2 linked regions of the Arabidopsis thaliana genome follow. The protein of the gene in region 1 interacts with the protein of each later gene in a pairwise test. Each region holds a gene or a part of one and is shown on either strand. Other genes may lie near its edges.

Region 1 (4,683 bases):
TGGCTCAACCGGTAGTTCCCGTGTCTCCTTAGCTCTCTTGTTCTTGGCTCGAATCTTGTTGTGTTAACAAGTAAACAATGTGTTGAAAAGAGTGAGTACACATTGATTGTCTTGGAGAAACAGATAGGGACTGCTTTGCATCCATTACAAGCAAATGGATTCTTCTGTAGAAGATCTTGGGATGAGATATGTATCGAGAAAGCATTATTGAAAGTGTGATACTTGTTGTACCTTTGCTGTGTGATTGAATACAGAGAGCGGGTCGATAGTTATATTACTTTCGGCACAAAGATTTATTTCTTTCCAAATAGTTTTTGTGCTAAATGAGCTTTTTTCCACATCTTTATCTTAATAAGCCGAAGCTCACAAAATGTATTGACCTGCGTATTGTATATACAAGAAGCAATGAGTAAACAGAAAGAAATAGTCTTGCTCACAAGAATGAGACTGTATGTTGAACATTACATAGGGTGTTAACTGGTTAAGCATTTGGGTATTATTACATTGTACCATCACCATTCCCTTTACAATTCTAAGCTTTTGCACTTTATTCCACATAGTTGACAGAAAAAAACTAACATAGAATCCTAGGGCCGGTAGGTACTTAGTAGTGGAAGTCTATACATGAGCATGTTATTCCATTTTTGGGTCAGTCATATACTATATAGTCATAGTTTACTGCATCTTCCAAATATGACTTCAAAACCAAAAAAAATTACTCTTCAGGGCGGCGGCAAATTCTTTCTAGTCCCAGCGATTCCTGAACATACACTTAACACAAAACTTCGTCAATAGTTCCCACACCCAACAAAAAGGCTGAGATCAATCTTCTTACCTCTGTATTGTCAAGCTCGTAGCGAACAAGAAACACGCAGTTACATCTCGCGTGATCATGAATCCCTCTCTTGATATTCAAAACATGACCATCACAGTAGAGTGCTTGATCCTCTCTTTCCTGCTCATTAACCACCCCAACTTTCATTTTTAAGTTCAAATTTCTTTTGTTAAATGTTCCATCCTTCATAATTAGATCAAAGTCAGCCTTACTTGGAAACATAGAAGCAGGTCTCCAACGTTCACTCTCCCACACTCTGATGGTTCTACAGGAATAGACCGCTCACGCACTGATGTTTTGACGTTTACCCACTCATCGTGTCGGTTGTCGAACCCAGAAAACCGTACACGCACTTCCTGTTGCAGACACTCTTAGTTGCAAACAAATCATCCATTAAACAAAAGAGAAAAAGCTTACCAGTTCACCAGTGCGAAGAACTCTATAAGTAAGGAACGAAGACACGTCATACCTGAAAGACCAGAATTCCAGCAAATAAGCACAGATATAAAACACAAACGTATATTACAAGTCCAAAAATTAGGCTTTATATGAATAACGTTCTTTCTTAAGTTCACACTGAATAGGTAAGGGCATTCCTCGTTGAGTTAACAATCAACAGAGAGTTCACATTTCAGGTTCTTACTTAGGCCACTTAACAAAGTCATATGCTAGCAGTAGTCCAAGAGTTAAAGCAAAAATAGAAACATGATATTCAATGCAAGGAAACGTTCTTACCACGCGTAGTCCCGCGCTGATTTAGCCTCAAAAGCCAGATCAGCTAAATCAGAGGCCTTGCCTGTGTATGAAAATGTTCATAGGCGTTATAAGGCGTTAACTAAAAGAATCAAATATGGCACACAAGAAAAGGAAAACCTTTTCGTGTTTGAACAAAGGTAGAATTCCCAACAAAGGTAGCATTTGAGGCATTTGAAGCATAAGAACTGGGATTAGATAAGTCATGAATCTGCAAAGGGGGAGATGGCAAAGTTTTGGATTTTGGTTGGCTTTGATGCTTCAGCTTCTCCTGGAACCAAATCTGTACCTGAAAACATTTTGATTCAAAAAAAAAAGTTATTTCTACTCTATTTGCATTTTTTACCAGTTAGCTCTATGAAGAAAAAAGAGACGCACCTGTTTCCAGGTTATAGAGGATTTGCCATTCCGATTCACAGAACAACTATAAGAGAAAATGGAAGAAGACATAAAGATTTTTTAGATACTGTGCATGAAAATCAATAATCCTACTATTCCTATAAATCCACAAAATGCTTGTGTCTCGATTCTCTAACAAACACATTCACATGATCAAATTCTCGTAAAATTCAGAATAAAGTACCTAAAAGTAGAGGCAACAGTTTGACAGAAATCTTTGTGGAGAGATTGGTCACCGAGCTCCTTATACAGATTCTCCATGTCTACAATCTTCGAATAAGAAGAGCAATAAGATCACAAAGCATGAATCTCTAATCTAAGAAAACGAATGATAGAAAGCATAGATAACCTCAGACAAGGTAAACTCGGTGAAATAGTGAGAGGAATCATCGGAAGCAGCCATTATCGAGCGCACAAGGAAGAAGAAGAAGAAGTGAAAAGGATCTTGAGCTAATTTGCTACTACACTGATGCCTTCAGAGTTCAGTGAGCTTTAGTGGGTTAATGGGCCTAAAATGGATAATAATAATATAAATGGGCTTAAACTCACTAATTTATTACCCATATGCTTGTTTTTTGGACCGTCTATTATTTTATTTTAACCACACTCATATAACTGTACTATTATTTAATATTTATAAATGACTTTGAAACAATCGAGACAGGATGAGGGAACCCGTCCGCGGGGAATCTTCCAAGTCATATGAGCTGGTGGTGCGTGGTGGAGTGTTTATTAATATTCATGATTACTGACATTATTAATCAAATACTATCATAGCATGTATAAGTATATAATTTAATCACAGCTAATCCTCACTAAGGCTCTACCTTCTTTTGTTGGCGACAACCCAGGCCCTTATTTCTCCAATACAAGATTCGTTACTAAACATATCAAATATACATTATTGTAATTAGTTAGTTAATTACACGTGCTTTAAAGCATTTTAAACGCACAAATTTGAAAATGATGGCAAAGGCCCTGATTGATTTTGACCGAGACACAAACACGCAAACATAGAAAATTTAATCAGGGATTTGTACTCGGTTACATAGCTGTCATTCTGTGTTACGTATTAATTACGGTATTTAACTAATCACGCACGCAGTAGATATACTATAACTTTACTTGATTAACAAAGCTAATAGCATCCATAAATTGGGGTCAAGATGTTTGAACTCATAACGAGTTACTTTGACATTTGTAGATTGTGTGTAGTTGGTACGAGGTCTACTAGTAAGTCATAACCAAATATAACTAATCGTAGTAGACTAATTCAATTTCTTACATAAGTCCCAAATTTTCTATACCTGTTCTGCACTAATCACTCCTCTCATTCTTATCACCATTGGTCCATTGCCATCTCTTGAATCCGTCAATCTTTTATTAATTTAAAAAGGCCACCTGCTCTATTGTTGACAATAGAAGGTGAGGAAAAACAAAACCAATCAAGCCAAAAAAAGACAACCTGTCTACATCATTAAGCACCAACCTTATACAAACGTATAAATCGAATTTTTAACTCGTGTATGATTGACTAGGCATCCTTCATTTTCCACATGGGCCATCCTGTTAAAAGATGTTTCATTATTGCATGGATTACTATAATAATCACAAGAATTTAAAAGGCACAATCAAGTGGTGCTTTTCTTTATAGTTTTCATTGGAGATTGTGATAAAATAACAGAGAGCACCAGAGGGGGAGCTTGCACTCGTCATTGTCCCTTACTCTTTTCTCTCTCAATGCTGCAGAGGCACTGACAAACACACCATCTTTGCTTATCTCTTTCTCTGTTTTCTTCAACGAAATTTACATATCATCCGTTTCTTCTACTCACATATGGATCCTATCAGTCTAATAGTCTAAAAGAAAGAAGAAGAAGCACTTAACTTAATAGAAACAGGATCAAGATTCATAAGATCTAAAGATGGATTACGATCCAGCTCATGCTATGAGCAGAGGTGGGAGTATGCGGCAAACCATAAGTCGTAGTGTAAGCAAAGCAAGCAGAAACATGGAAGACATATTCAATACAAGCTCTAGACGAACCAAATCTGTCAACGAAGACGAAGAAGCTCTCAAATGGGCTTCCATCGAGAAACTCCCTACCTACAACCGTCTCCGCACAAGTCTCATGCCTGAATTAGGCGAAGACGACGTCTACGGTAACCAAATCCTCAACAAAGCAGTTGACGTCACGAAGCTTGACGGCGAAGAACGTCAGAAGTTCATCGACATGGTCTTCAAAGTCGCAGAGCAGGACAACGAACGGATCTTGACAAAGCTAAGAAACAGAATCGACAGAGTTGGGATCCAACTTCCGACAGTAGAAGTGAGGTACGACCACTTGACTGTGAAAGCTGACTGTTACACCGGTGATAGATCTCTTCCTTCGCTTCTTAACGCGGTGAGAAACATGGGAGAAGCTGCTCTAGGCATGATCGGAATTAGGCTTGCCAAGAAAGCACAACTTACTATTCTCAAAGATGTTTCTGGTATCGTCAAACCTTCAAGGATGACACTTTTGTTGGGTCCTCCGTCTTCCGGGAAGACCACGCTTTTGTTGGCTCTTGCCGGTAAACTCGACAAGTCTCTTGACGTCTCTGGGGAGGTAACCTATAATGGTTATCGCCTCAATGAGTTTGTTCCCATTAAAACATCTGCTTACATTAGTCAGAACGATCTTCATGTTGGTATC
Region 2 (6,777 bases), on another chromosome or scaffold:
CAGCTCGTGTTGTAGTAGTAAGTTAAATATATATCTGCTTGTGTTGTGTGTGAACTCATATTCTAAGACCATTACTGTCCAGATTTTTACAACAAGATTCTTTACATCTTTCAGGTGATAGTTTTGCAAGGGCCAGTGAACTTATGGAGCTTTTAACTCTAGAAAAATCAATGAGAGCTGCAATAACACTGGTTACCAAACTCAAGCTTCCTTTTTTGGCAGAGAAATTCAGCAGCATACTCGAGGTACTCTACAAGTACTTTCATTTCTTATATTTTGCACAAAAGAGAAGAAAAATTAGATACAGACGTAATGCTAATTTTTTGGTTCTTCACTAACAGGAAAGGTTGCTTGAAGAAGCTAGCGAGGCGGCGGTAACAAATCCTGCGCTGAATCCAAACGGAGAAGTAGTTACAAGAGTTGAATCCAAGGTCCAGAATCCTCCAGCTTCGATTCAGACTAGTGAAAACACAGAAGCAGTTATGAAATCTTCTGCAACTAAGCTATCTGCTCCTACACTTCTAAAGAAATCGAAAGTTTCAGAAGGTCTAAAGCTGGGAAAAGAACAAACAAAGAAAGACAAAAGTGACGATGCGAAGATAAAAGAGATAAAGAAATTGAATTTGAAGAATCCGGTGAACAATGTTAACAAGGAAGACAAGGGACAGGAAAAGGAAGTGAATCAAGGAGAAGCTCGACGTTCTTCAAACCCGTTCCTCAAATCAACTGTTTAATGATCTTATTTGGAGGTTTTGTTTTATTTAACAAGATTATGATGAATACATCTGTTTCACTTTATTAAATATTATGATGCTATAGCTGAATGATTACACAAACTTATGATACAGGATTAGTTTATATTACAATACAACAAGCTGTTAAAGAATCATCATCAAAGGCATGGTGAAACAGAAACTTGAACTGGAAAAATTCAGCAATCAGCCACCTGTTGAAGCTTTCTCGTTCTTCATGATCATATGGAAGGATTTGACTTTGTCTTCCTCCACGATTTCTCTAAGAACATCGTCCTCAATCTTCTCAGCTTGCCATTGAGATGGGTCCTCCACAAATTCTTCACTGAAAATCATACTGGAGACCCATTCTTTCCAGGTCGTCCTCCTGTATTTGTCTTCTTCAAGTGTTCCTCTCGACAAGAGCTGGTAAACGTACACCACTTTCTGCTGTCCCGGTCTGAATGCACGTGCGATTGCTTGCTTTGTCTTAGAAGGATTCCACTCTGAATCAAGCATGATCACCCGTGAAGCAGCGGTTAGACTGATGCCTTCTGCACAGGCTGTAATCGAAGCCAGCAGAACACGGGACTGGCCTCCTGGCTCTTCAAATTTGTCTATTACTCTGCCTCTTTCAAACAGCTCGAGATCCCCTGTCAAGGTCAGGAGCTCTCGGCCTCTCTTCCACCTGAATACATTCTCGAACAGCTCAAGAAACAGGCGGATCGGCGCAATGTTGTGACAAAATATGAGGATTTTCTCCCTCTTGACCACCCGGAACACAAGATTAAGCACAAACATGACTTTTGATCCTTTCTTTGCATCGTGCTTGAGCTTCTCAATCTCTAAAAGCTCCTGAGGGTTGAAGAATTTGGCGCAACAGGTTGTGGTTTTGACCAACCAAGGATGGATAGCAGCTAACGTTATGAGTAACTCGAGCTCGAGTGGATATCCATGGTAAGTTGACATTATGTTCTGAAGTTTGGTAAGACTCTTGTGCTGTACATCAGTGGAATTCATCAACAATGTGTAAATCTGCAAACCTGGGAGAACATCACCACTTCCGCTTCCACTCCCTTCATAGTTATCGATGAAACCACTCGTCATATTCCTCAACATGTTGAGACCCTGCAAGCGCTCATCGCCCACTTTTGTGTCAATCTTCTTGGCTATAATGTCAAGGAAGAACTTCCGAGCTCTATTTTCAAGCAAGTGAGGCGCCTTTTGCTCGGCTTGGTTGGTCTGGAACTTCTTGTCCAACTCCACTAGAACCTCATGAACAAACTTGGGTCTAGCCAAGCACAAAGTGTTGAAGTACTCACAGAAGTTGTTCTGAAACAATGTACCAGAAAGCAGAATCCTCAAGTCAGTATCAACTTTCATCAAGGCCTTTCGTAATCTCGACTTGGTACTCCTCGGGTTATGTCCCTCGTCTAGAACCAGTAATCCAGGAGACTCTCTCAGTACTTTAGCCATGTACTTTCTATGAGCAAACTTTGAATCTTCCCTCATCAAAGTTAGAAACGATGTGTAACCCATTACAAGAACACTCGGCTGTGCATGCCATTTCTGGATTTTGTCTAAACAGTCAAGAACATGCATAACATCTTGGCTTGGTTTTGGAATTCCCTCGAACTGAATGGTCTTCTCTTTGGACATACAGTAGGTTCTACGACCATGGAGCAAGTGAACAGGGACCGGAATCTCCCATTTGATGAACTCCTTGTACCAAGTGTACAAAGTTGTTTTTGGAGCAAGAACCAAAGGTCTTTTACCCGGAAATATCTTCAAGTAGCTCGCGAGAAAAGCTATGATTAGAAATGTTTTTCCTGCTCCGGGAGTATGAGAAACTACACACCCACCTATCTTATCTGAACTCGGATCCATCATCGCGGGAACCACTGACCCGGCTAGGTTCTTCCAGAGAAACTCAAAAGCTTTTTTCTGGTGCAAATGCAGTTTTCTCTTAAGCTGAGGTATTAAAGACCAGACATTGTCACTTTCTTCAGCCGATGGCATATCTGAGGAAGCAACTGGTATAGTGAAAGTATGGCTCTCAACTCCATCTTGGTTAACTATAGTAGTATTAATGTCATCTTCGTTGATTTGCTTAGTCTCCGTCGTCCATTTCTTGTGCCGCGCCTATCGAAAACCATACCACCAAAATATATTACAAGTAACTCATCGAAAGTAGGTGACAAAATGTTGTCTGGTATAGAGTTTCCACTTACAAAAGGTGCAGAAACATGTTTTATCTCAGTTCCTACATGACCACACAATCTGCAACACATTCCGATTTCTTCATTCAATTCATAGTCATGTTCACAATCACAGGTTGCTTTATGGAACGCCTCGTTATCCACTCTCACCTGAAACTTCAAATCAAACTATTAAACATATAAAAATGTAAGCTCATGGTCATCAAGAATGTTTTCAGGAAAATATAAAAAGATTTCCAAAAGGTATATATATATATAACCTCATGGTCATCAAGAATGTAAGAAGAAGCCAAGCATAGTTCCATTTCCCTCCATAGAATCTCATTCTCTGAAGTCTCGCCATCATCCTCCTCCTCCTCACTCAACCTTTCTTCGGCTTCGATCGAAAAGCTTGCGGGGTTCTTTAACCCTTGCCACTGCTCAACAACATTGGTTGCTTTGTCCTTGGCTGCAATTGTAGAATCAATTCTACTCATGTACGAGTCTATCAACTTGTTATACGCACCTGCGCTCAACGTTCTCTTCTTATAAATCTGCGGTTCCTCAGAAACTCCGGTTTCCCTAGAAACGGACCTTATTCGAGAATGCGGTCCATTTCTTTTATGAACCACATTCCCAATAGGTCCATTCCAACCTAGATCAGATTCCATCTCTTCCATTTCAATCTTCTTCTTCTTCTTCTTCCCGTATTTCGCTGCTTTACTACGATACTTATCGATCTCATCCATCAAATTTCCAGAGACACCACCACACAAACTATTTGCATTGAGACCAAACTGTTCCAACGGTATAGGTTCAAAGACAGGAGTGAAAGGAATAACCGAAAGCTCACAACTTCGACTAAATCCCTCTGTTTTCTTTCTCTTCTTCCTCTCAGTTTTGTCTACCAAAACTATCTCTCTCTGCTTATCCTTACTAAATCCCTTTTTGCTTCCTTTCTTTCTAAGTAAATGCGATAACGGTAAGTATAAATCATCATCAGTATCTTTATCATCCTCGCAATCTTCTTCTTCATCATCATCATCACTTGAAACATTCCATATGTTGTACCTATATGGCATCATCCTTACCCATCCATCCTTCGAATCCGGCTGAATCTCAGAGTCTCCGTATCTCTCAGGCCGCCCGCTTCTTCTCTTGGACCGACGCAGCTCCATTACCTCCTCTTCAATCTCCTCCTTTACATCACTATCTTGACAAGTATCCTCAGCTGGATTGAACAAAACAACCTTAGACATGACAACACCGTCTTCAACCGTAATGTTCATTGCACTCAAAGAGCTACTAGAGCCTTCGCAATCTTCATCCGTCACAATCTGATAAACCATCTTCTCGTGAACGGTTCTAATCTGAAACACAATGTTTTTCAAAACTGATGTAACAAGCAACCATGTAAGATCAGGCAAGAACTTCCCTAAGTTTAGTCTTGTTTTCACCAACGAAGAACAGTCCTCAGAGTATCTCCATCTATAGTAACGGTCCAAGCTTTGTTCCTTGCAAAACTTTTGAAGGATGGCGATTTCGTTGAGTCCCACGAGTACCGGAACTTTATTCATTCTATGCTTCTCCAAACCAATGCAGCCTTGGTCTATATAAACACTGACATGGAACGTACACAAGCATTCAGATTCATGAGGCTTCCTCTCTATAGATAAAACCCTTGCATCCACCCAAACCTACACCACCACACACACACACACACACAAAACGTTTCAAAACAGCAAAAATGCGCATAGATTTAAAGACTTTCATATTGAAGAAAGTGAATGTACTGGTTCTGGAGTCTCTTCATCTCTCTGATAAAGAACGCAAACATCGATACCGGGTCTTAAAAAAGAAGTACAGTCGATCAAAGTCGCCTTTCTTGATCTAATTCGAAGCCTCTGAAATGGTTTTATATCATCCAAAACTTGTCCATTTTCTAAGAGACGCATTGTCATCGTTCCATTCTCGATCCTTAAGTACTCCACGGCCTTCCATGTCCCCCAGCAGAACACCTCGAAAGCTACCACAACAGACAAAACAGAGCATTTTAGGTAAAGAAACAGCAGTCATTCAAATCTCAATGCATGACATTTTAGGTAAGAAAATAAAACATCAGATCTTGTAAAACACTTACGACATGGATTAAATGGATGGTTAAACTCAAAGTAATGCTTTCTCTTCATTTTTTTCTTTCCCTTCAAGATCACTTGTGGATCCACATATGATCTCCTGTAACCAATACATGTATAGCTTCATTAGGATTCATTCACCACTTGACAAATAAAAAAAAGATTCAAACTTTATCTGCAACTAGAGACAACCCAGAACATATATGATATATGAACTTTAAAACTTGATCATATTGGTTAATGTGCGAAAGCAACATTATTGTACTAAAAAGGTGTAAAACAGAGTAACAGTGTCGTATCAAAATGAAAAACGAAACATGATCGTCATCAACAACAAACAAAACCCAGATTGAAAAAACCACAACTTTATGATCAGAACACAAAATCAATATATCACCTTTGAGGGAAAAAGAGAGTTGATTCTAGTCCATGATTGACACTAAGAGGAAAATAAGAGAAGGAACAAAATATGATAAATAGAAAAGGGACGGCGAAGAATTCAATACCACACTCACGCAGAATCTTGGGGACAGTGTAGAACTTTTTATTTTCCCTTTTTGCATGAATTTGCGCAGAATCGATAAAAAGTGATAGAGAGAAATAAAGAGAGACTGAAAAATAAAGTGAGAGAAGAGGAGGGTTTAAGGAGTGAGGGTATTATTGTCATTTCCATGTACGTACTTCTTTATATGGGAAATAAACGGCTGCGATTTGGTCTGTCTTTACTATCTTTAGATTTTACTGACACAAAGAGTAAAAGCCAAGTTGTGTGCATGGTGGCCTATTGGGTCCACATTGAGATAGGTTTATAGGGAAAATATCTTACACAAATTCATGAACTTAACATTTAGTTTGCACAAAACAAAAACATTTACTTAGTTTGTTTTTTAATTATTATACTAAAATTAGTAAAAGATGAGTTTTTAATATGGTTTTGATATCAAAAAAGAAACTTTTATTTTTATTTCAAGATTCTAAAAGAAAATATCATTTAATATTTTAAAAAGTAGTTAAGGGTAACGGTGAATTGCTGTATTTTCTTTACTCCATTTCTAATTTTTTTTCTCTTTAGTTTTTTATTTTTCTGTTTAATATGTTGGAAGATCAAATATCTAGTTTTCTTTAGTAGATTTCTCTATTTTTGTTTATATTATTTTTCTATTTTATTTCTGACTCTTTTTTTAATTGTTGTATCCCTTACAAAGTTAATGCAAAACTGTTTTTTTTTCCATTAAATCAAACAAACACTAAAATATATAACATTTGGAAATGTAAATGATAGAGTTATTGTAAATCGTTGGATATGTAATGCTTTTGAACAAGGTCTATGTGAGCTTTATCTTATGCATAAAATATGAGTTGTTACCAGAATCTGCCTTAGTCACAAGCTAGGGAAGCATGTGTTTACGGTATAAGATATAGTTATTAATTAACCGTCATCTATTTTCCAAATATCTCTTATAACTATACTGGTTAATCGTTGGGTGATAGAACAATAGGTAGTAGGTTCAACTCTTACACTTACAAAAATGTTTTTTTTTTGATATGATTAGGCCTTTTTTGCTGGTGGCACTCAAAATGTTTTGGGTGGCTATGAATGTTCCATGATTTGATATGGATAGTAAAATATATAATGTTTAATAGAAAACTTTACTTAAATATCTTTTTCTCTTTTTAGCTTTAGCAACAGCTCTCACTAGAATCGAAAAGAAA

What was found.
Region 2: the proteins of SHH1 (region 1) and CHR38 interact in a two-hybrid assay, tested with the Arabidopsis thaliana proteins (one study listed by BioGRID).

What each region holds. Positions count from the first base shown.
Region 1 is NC_003070.9:5,235,803-5,240,485, reverse strand, and holds SHH1 (SAWADEE HOMEODOMAIN protein), read right to left. Parts: upstream 2,443-4,683; 5' UTR 2,391-2,442; coding exon 2,337-2,390; intron 2,258-2,336; coding exon 2,172-2,257; intron 2,013-2,171; coding exon 1,967-2,012; intron 1,878-1,966; coding exon 1,709-1,877; intron 1,632-1,708; coding exon 1,571-1,631; intron 1,305-1,570; coding exon 1,253-1,304; coding exon of another isoform or gene 1,229-1,252; intron 1,192-1,228; coding exon 1,048-1,191; intron 956-1,047; coding exon 773-955; downstream 1-772. Other genes in the region: CCMH (cytochrome c biogenesis protein family), read left to right, coding at 1-15; ABCG35 (pleiotropic drug resistance 7), read left to right, coding at 3,913-4,683. UniProt on the Arabidopsis thaliana protein: Involved in RNA-directed DNA methylation (RdDM). Required for the silencing of some endogenous RdDM targets and accumulation of 24-nt siRNAs, but not for the production of Pol V-dependent transcripts.
Region 2 is NC_003074.8:14,754,968-14,761,744, forward strand, and holds CHR38 (chromatin remodeling 38), read right to left. Parts: upstream 5,119-6,777; coding exon 5,070-5,118; intron 4,956-5,069; coding exon 4,723-4,955; intron 4,627-4,722; coding exon 3,211-4,626; intron 3,107-3,210; coding exon 2,963-3,106; intron 2,874-2,962; coding exon 939-2,873; 3' UTR 831-938; downstream 1-830. Other genes in the region: AT3G42660 (transducin family protein / WD-40 repeat family protein), read left to right, coding at 1-17, 115-245, 342-734. UniProt on the Arabidopsis thaliana protein: Probable chromatin remodeling factor. Required for the initial establishment of DNA methylation and for accumulation of 24-nt siRNAs.